2 linked regions of the Sus scrofa genome follow. The main gene of each other region encodes a partner of the protein of the gene in region 2 in a complex. Links are inferred from orthologs where the notes say so. Each region holds a gene or a part of one and is shown on either strand. Other genes may lie near its edges. The genes, in order: TARDBP and ANXA11.

The links.
Region 1: the proteins of ANXA11 (region 2) and TARDBP are in contact, whole or in part, in a cryo-EM structure (PDB 9FOR), measured with the Homo sapiens proteins. The link is inferred for Sus scrofa from reciprocal best matches to the Homo sapiens genes ANXA11 and TARDBP. Residues at the interface, in NP_001148.1 of Homo sapiens: Gly56, Met57, Ala59, Met61, Ser62, Gly63, Phe65, Asn69, Pro71, Asn72, Leu73; in NP_031401.1 of Homo sapiens: Ala328, Leu330, Ser332, Trp334, Gly335, Met337, Gly338, Met339, Ala341, Ser342, Gln343.

Annotation. Positions count from the first base shown.
Region 1 is NC_010448.4:71,216,431-71,220,243, forward strand, and holds part of TARDBP (TAR DNA-binding protein 43), read left to right. Parts: intron 1-1,403; coding exon 1,404-1,567; intron 1,568-1,788; coding exon 1,789-1,929; intron 1,930-3,664; coding exon 3,665-3,813. UniProt on the Homo sapiens protein: RNA-binding protein that is involved in various steps of RNA biogenesis and processing.
Region 2 is NC_010456.5:81,862,633-81,866,445, reverse strand, and holds part of ANXA11 (annexin A11), read right to left. Parts: intron 2,713-3,813; coding exon 2,603-2,712; intron 1,672-2,602; coding exon 1,285-1,671; intron 25-1,284; coding exon 1-24. UniProt on the Homo sapiens protein: Binds specifically to calcyclin in a calcium-dependent manner. Required for midbody formation and completion of the terminal phase of cytokinesis.

The sequences.
Region 1 (3,813 bases), on a different chromosome or scaffold from region 2:
TGTAGATTCACTAGCTGAAACAAATGTACCAACCACCCTGGTGGGAAATACTGATAATGGAGTGGGCTATGCGTTGTGTACCAGGGGTATGTGGGAAGTCTATACCTTCCTTAATTTTGCTGTGAACTTAATACTGCTACAAAAGTGTCTTTTTGTCTAAATGTCATCTAGTTCCTCTCTTCCTTTCCAAATTTTGGCCTTTTAAAATAACCTAAGGTTTTTCTTTTTATTACAAAATTAACACAAATTCATTGTTGAAAGTTTAGAAACAAAACAAGGAAAATTCGGAGTTCCCGTCATGGCCCCCTGGTTAACAAATTGGGCTAGGAACCGATCCCTGGCCTTGCTCAGTGGGTTAAGGATCCGGCATTGCCATGAGCTATGGTGTAGGTCGAAGACACGCCTCAGATCCTGAGTTGCCGTGGCTGTGGTGTAGGTTGTCTGCTACAGCTCCTATTAGACCCCTAGCCTGGACCCTCCATATGTCGTGGGTACAGCTCCAGAAAAAGACCAAAAGAAAAAAAAAAAACAAGGAAAATTGAAATCACCCTTAAATCCGCAAGCTAGAGATAAAAGTTGCTAATTTTTTTGGTAGATAGACTTCAAGTTATAGGTATTAAAATAATTAAGCAAGTATATTTAACAGATACACTGTTATTCACCTGTTTTTTCCCTTCCTTAATGTTTTTTGGGGGGTTTTGTTGGTTTTTGCTTTTTAGGGCTACACCTGCAGTGTATGGAAGTTTCCAGGGTAGGGGTCCAATCAGAACTGCAGCTGCTAGCCAACACCATAGCCATAGCAACGCGGGGTCCAAGCTGTGTCTGCCACCTACACCACAGCTCAGGGCAATGCCGGGATTGAACACGCATCCTCATGAATACCAGTCAGGTTCATAACCCACTGAGCCCCTTAATGTATTATTTAAAGCAGGAACTCCCCTTAATGTATTATTTAAAGTCAAGTGAAGTAACTGGTTGGTGGGGGTGGCTGGGAGGCTGTGCCCAAGGCACACGAAAGGTCCTCGGCCAGATACCAGACTCACTTGTGCCACAGCAGCGACCCAAGCCGCTAGAGTAGCAAAGCCAGATCCTAAACCCACTGCACCACAAGAGAACTAAAGTGAAGTAACTTTTGACACACCTTTTGAGAGGGAAGAACATACAGTCGTAGTCTTAAGCTATTATAAAAGCAGAGGAAGGAATCCCTGGACTTGTTCCAGAAGAGCATCTCAGCCACTTACTCAATCCCTTATTGTGTCTTGGAGAGCAAACATCACAGCCTAAAGTTTCCAGTGTCTTGTGCTCTAGAATGTTTTTGCTTCTCGTTCTCTAGGTGAAGGAAGTAATGTGTTTTAAGAAGGGTTAAATGAAAGTTCTAAAAGGTTTCTGCTGGTTTTGTTTAGATAACAAAAGAAAAATGGATGAAACAGATGCCTCATCAGCAGTGAAAGTGAAAAGAGCAGTCCAGAAAACATCTGATTTAATAGTGTTGGGTCTCCCATGGAAGACGACTGAACAGGATCTAAAAGAATATTTTAGCACCTTTGGAGAGGTTCTTATGGTTCAGGTAAACTTTGGTTTCATTTAAGAGTTTTTCATTTTCAGTAAATGAGCACAGAGGATTCTTATTGTTTTAGTGACACTGCTCTTTTTTATGTTCACTAGGGTATTATTAATATTTGTTGTATGTATATATAAGGAGTGATGAAGTTACAGTGTTTTTATGCATGTACTCTAGTTTGGTTATGTGTTATGTGTGGTTTTAGTAAATTTAAATGATTTTTCTAGGTCAAGAAAGATATTAAAACTGGTCATTCAAAAGGATTTGGCTTTGTTCGTTTTACGGAATATGAAACCCAGGTTAAAGTAATGTCACAGCGACATATGATAGATGGACGATGGTGTGACTGTAAACTTCCAAATTCTAAGGTACTTTCCTCTTTTTCTCTCTGCTTTGGCCTTTTTTTTCTGACAAACTTCCTTAGAAGACACTGTAAAATAAACCATTACAGTAGGAAAGTGTAGTAGCAGCGTGTGTCCTTAAAATCTTTTGCTTTGGACCTTAATGCATGCTGAATATTTTGTATGTTTGCAGTACTTAGTTTTTTGTGGTTTTTTTTCGTCTTTTTGCTATTTCTTGGGCCGCTCCCTCGGCATATGGAGGTTCCCAGGCTAGGGGTCCAATAGGAGCTATAGCCACCGGCCTACGCCAGAGCCACAGCAACGCGGGATCCGAGCCACGTCTGCAACCTACACCACAGCTCACGGCAACTCTGGATCGTTAACCCACTGAGCAAGGGCAGGGAGCGAACCCGCAACCTCATGGTTCCTAGTCGGATTCGTTAACCACTGCGCCACGATGGGAACTCCTGCAGTACTTAGTTTATTACCCCTCCAAACAAAAACCTTGTTTATTCTTCCTTTTTTTTTTTTTTTTTTTTTTGCTTTTTTTTTTAGGGCCGCACCCAAGGCACATGAAGTTCCCAGGCTAGAGGTCAAATCAGAGCTACAGCTGCTGGCCTACAATCTACACCACAGCTCACAGCAATGCCAGATCCTTAACCCACTGAGAGAGACCAGGGATCGAACTCACAACCTCATGGTTACTAGTTGGATTCATTAGCACCTGAACTGAGAAGGGAACGCCTCTCTTGTTACATTTTAATGAGTTAACAATTTCTTACATCCTTAACACAGTAAAACATGAAGACCATTAGATGATGGAGGATGATGTGTACAGAAGGATATATATATATATAACTGGTTTTCTATACAACAGAAATTGACAACATTGTAAATCAACTATAATTTTAAAAAGTTTTTTGTTAATGAAGACAATTAGGAGTTCCTGTCGTGACGCAGTGGTTAACGAATCTGACTAGGAACCATGAGGTTGCAGATTCGATCCCTGGCCTTGCTCAGTGGGTTAAGGATTCTGCGTTACTGTGGCTCTGGTGTAGGCCGGTGGCTACACCTCCGATTAGACCCCTAGCCTGAGAATCTCCATATACCATGGGAGCAGCTCTAAAAAAGGCAAAAAGAAAAAACAAAACAAAAAGAAGACAATTAGAATACATTAATCTTGTTGTCAAAGACTAACCTGTCCAAGCAAGCAAGACTGGCTTATTTGGAACATTATCATCTTTGGCAAGACATTCTCAGTCATTGACTTTCCTTAATCCAAATATACTGCATTGGAGTTCCCTTCGTGGTGCAGTGGAAATGAATCCAGCTAGGAACCATGAGGTTGCTGGTTTGATCCCTGGCCTCACTCAGTGGGTTAAGGATTCGGCGTTGCAGTGAGCTGTGGTGTAGGTTGCAGACACGGCTCCTATCCTGCTTTGCTGTGGCTCTGGCGTGGGCAGGCAACAACAGCTCTGATTAGACCCCTAGCCTGGGAACCTCCATACACCTCTGGTGCGGCCCTAAAAAGGACAAATGACAAAAAAAAACTTGCATCAACTTCAAGGTTTAGATTTTATTCTCCACTGAAGTCTTAAAAGTGCTAACGCAAAAAAAAAAAAAAAAAAAAAAAAAAAAAGACTATCTACTTTTTAATGACTCATCTAATATAAAAGCAATAGGTTTTGTAACATTCTCTAACATGATTTTTCGTTGCTCATAAAATGTTTGTGATGGTTTTTCTTCCTTCCACTTTGACCAGCAAAGCCCAGATGAGCCTTTGAGAAGCAGAAAGGTGTTTGTTGGGCGCTGTACAGAGGACATGACTGCTGATGAGCTGCAGCAGTTCTTTTGCCAGTACGGAGAAGTGGTAGATGTCTTCATTCCCAAACCATTCAGGGCTTTTGCCTT
Region 2 (3,813 bases):
TGCAATGGTGCCTCGGTTTCCAAACTGCTCAGACAGACAGACAGAAAGGTGCTATCTATATTCCTCCAGATGTGAGACTGTCCACCCCAGACTCTGCGAATGACCTATCTTCTAAAAGCTGGGGTACCTGAAGGAGCCTGCAACCAGTGGCACAGGGGACTCGATGCTGAGTTGGCCTAAGGTGACTGTTACCTGTCGTCATGTCCTGGCACTGATGCCTGGCTCCTGTGGCTAAGAGCCCACCTAGAGCTAAGTCCTGATGCTGAAAATCTCCCCTCACCTGGGTCCTGATTAAGAATGATCCTCGGGAATAGGGGACCACCAGAGACACATCAGGGCTCCCCTAAGGGGCCTGGCCAGTCCACCTTCAATGCACATTAGGAAAAGGTGTTCCCTCCAGGATGCAGGTGTCCAGCCTAGCACACGCAGCCTCCTGGACTAGCTCTGGTTTCCGGGCCCCATTTTCTGGATCCCGTGACCTGCTCGCCTGCAGGACTTCTTCCTGACACAACAGCTGCACTCCAAGCAAACATGACTTTTCCTACCTAAACTGTCTCCTGGTGGATTATCTAGTACAAACTGGTTCTAAGAGTTAAGGAGTTAAGCTGAAAACAAAGATAAGCGGGAAGGCAGAGAGGGAGTATGACAAGCAAGGCAGAGGTTGGGGCGGGGGATGTGTGGGTGTGGGAAAGGGAGGGGAATGGACCCTCTGACTAAAAATAGTCATCAACCACATACTGCTAGCCCTGTGCTTGGCTGGTTTGGCCATGTAACCATGACAATGAATTCTAGGCTCTGTAAACATGAACTGCTCTCCAAAATGAGCCAAGAGCAGCCCTGAAAGAACTGCCAACAATCTTCCCTGCTCAAAGGAGCTGGTTTTAAGAATCCTCTGATACCAGTCTGAGAGAGCACATCCAGGGGACAGAAGACTAACAGCCCCTGGGCATAGACCTTGAGACCAGTTCTTACAAAGCACAGACCCAAGGCAATAAAAAACACAAGAGGAATGAAGAGTACTGGGGGCATTCAAACCCAAAGCTCATGGGGCCCATTTAACCACTGGGAAAAACCAGGCAACTGTGCCTAGGGCCTCAGCAATAAAACCGGGGTACAGGGAGTCTGTGAGAAAGTGACACTGAAAACCAGAGGTTACAGCTGGAGGACTGGGCCCTCCCCCATCCCCGCAACCTCCCCAGTCTTGCTGTCAGAGGACACTAGGCCACGTGTCTTGAGCCTTTGGAGCTAGGCCTGGACAGAGAATAGCATAGGGCTGGCACTCACCTGGGCTGGCGGCACAGCAGGGGTGACGGTCCCGGACCCCGAGTATCCTGGGTAGCTTGGCATCGGCTGCTGCCCGGGAGGTGGCATTGGCGACTGCCCAGCATAGGGCATGGGGGGCTGTCCAGGGTAGGCTCCCGGGGGCTGCTGCCCGGGGGGTGGCATGGGCTGGCCTGGCACAGGGGCCCCTGGGTATGGCGGATATGTAGGCATCCCAGAGGGTGGGTTTCCTCCTGGGGGCGGGTACATTCCATATGGAGGAACAGGCTGCTGGGCAGAGGGGGGCTGCCCAAACCCCCCTGGGGGGACCGGAGGATAACCACCCCCAGGGGCCCCTGGGTACAAGTTTGGCACATTGGCTCCTCCGAACGTCCCGGACATGTTGGCTGCCTGAAAGTCCACAAAGCAGAGCCTTAGACTGACAGCCTCTGAGAAACAAGGCTGCCCTCCGTCCATCTGCCCTTCCCCGCCCTGAGGGAGCCAGCAGCAGGTACCCGGGGCTACACTCTGCTCAAGGTGAGTCTGAGCACCACCAGCTTCTCAGCAAGGCCCACCCTGACCGCACACCTTGTCCTACATGCCCTCCAACTGCATCGCTGACCCTTTTACCTGCCCTTGTGGCCAAAGTACTCAGACTTCCTCTAATACCACATGGTTCCCTTATGCCATGTGTCTCTTCCCAGTGGATGGTAAGCACTCCAGGGCTGGGATTTTTCTACCCCCAGTGCCCAGAATGGGCCTGGCACAGATGAGGCCAAGTATTGGTTGCGTTTACAGTGAGCATGCATTTGTTTTTGGATTATAAAATATACTACTTTACAAGCAAATCAACAAAAGTATTATGTTTGCTTGTGCAACCAGGCACCCGCTTCCAGGCCCACTCAGAACAGTTATCCTCACATAAACATATATAACATGCAGGTGCATGTGGCCACTTTTACAGGGCATGTGCATGCAAGAGGTGCATACCCTTACCCCGCTCGTCCCTATGCTGAGCTCATATGGTGCGTGATGTATGTGCCCTGAAGGCACACCCCTACCCAATCCCCTAGAGCCGAAAGGGTCCTGGGAGACGATGTGGTCCAAAGCATTTCCCTGCCCTTCATTTTACAGATGGGAAAATCAAGACACAGTGAGAGCCCTGATGAAAACCTTTATGTCCTTAGATATAGCTCAATACATACCCTTGGGGACCACAGGTAATCTCTCTCTCTCTCCCTCTCTCACACACACAAACCCTCTGACACCATGGGAGCCAGCTTCATCCTTCAGGCCATGCTAGTGCAGCCCCAGGGAAGCCCGGCGGGAAGGCTGGACTCACCATTCCTGAGAGATAGTCCTGGTTGAACTGCCCTGCGTAGTTGGCCACATTATCCAGCCCAATGGGGGGCATGCTGGGTGGCGGGTAGGCAGCGCCTCCCCAGGCACCACCTGAAAGCAACAGCAAGCCGGTTAGCCCCAGAACGGCCCTCCAACAGGGAAAGGCAGAGACATCAGCTCCCAGGCAGCTGGGAGGGAAGGCCAAGCAGAGCCTCGGACGGCCCTGTATACCACACAGAAAATACTCAGCAAGGAAGTCTAACCCAATCCCCCTGGCAGAGCAAGAGAAGAGGGAACCTTCCTTGCCTTCTAGGGAGGAAGGAGGGGTTCAGCAAACCCTCCCAAACCCTCTGTGAAATTATTAAGCAGGTAGAGGGGCCAAGGGCAGACCTGCCCCCCTGGGCTCACCCTCGTGGAGCACAAGTACAGACAGATCTCTCTCGGGGACACTGTGCTGAGCCCAGGACAGCGGTGAGCTCAGGGAGCACTGACAGACCAGAGCGGGTGAGGGTGGGGGTCCTGCCCAGCTGGCTGTTTGCTAACATCGCAAGTCTGGAAGAGGCAGGGAGAAGCAAGATGACAGGATGGAAGGAGACGGGGCTCAGTCAGGGAAAACACCCATCCTTGTTAAGGGGATAGCAGGGGAACAGCAGCAAAAAGCCACACCTCTGAAACCAGTGGCACCTGGGTATGTGCTCTGGGGCAAGGCACTCAACCATCCTGGCTGTTTCCTCAGGTGAAGTGGGGATAGTTAGCGTTTGTCTCAAACTGTGATGAGGATTAAGTGAGTTAATGCTGGGCAGGGCTTAGCTGGGGGCCTGGTGAGCATTCATATGTTACAGTTGTCACTGTGACAAGCACAACAGCCAGCATCACCCTTCAGGCTGCTGGCCTGTTAGATGCAGCCCCATCCATGGCAGTGGAAAGAACCTGAGGGCCTCAGGTTTGGCTTCAGCTCCAGGACATTCAAGACAGAACCTTCCCAGAATCACCTGTCAGCTCCCTCTCTTGCTGCTCAAGTGGTGACAGAGGTGGCAGTAGTAGGACAAAGATGGCTGACTGGCTAGTGCCACCTCCCTGCTACTGACGCACAGCAGCAGCTGCAGCAGTAACATCTGACTCTTAGTGACTCCCTCTACTTCCTCCCTCTGCAGGGGATCCTCTGCTGCTGGGAAACCAGGCACCTTGAGAACAGGGCAGGAAAGGTGACAA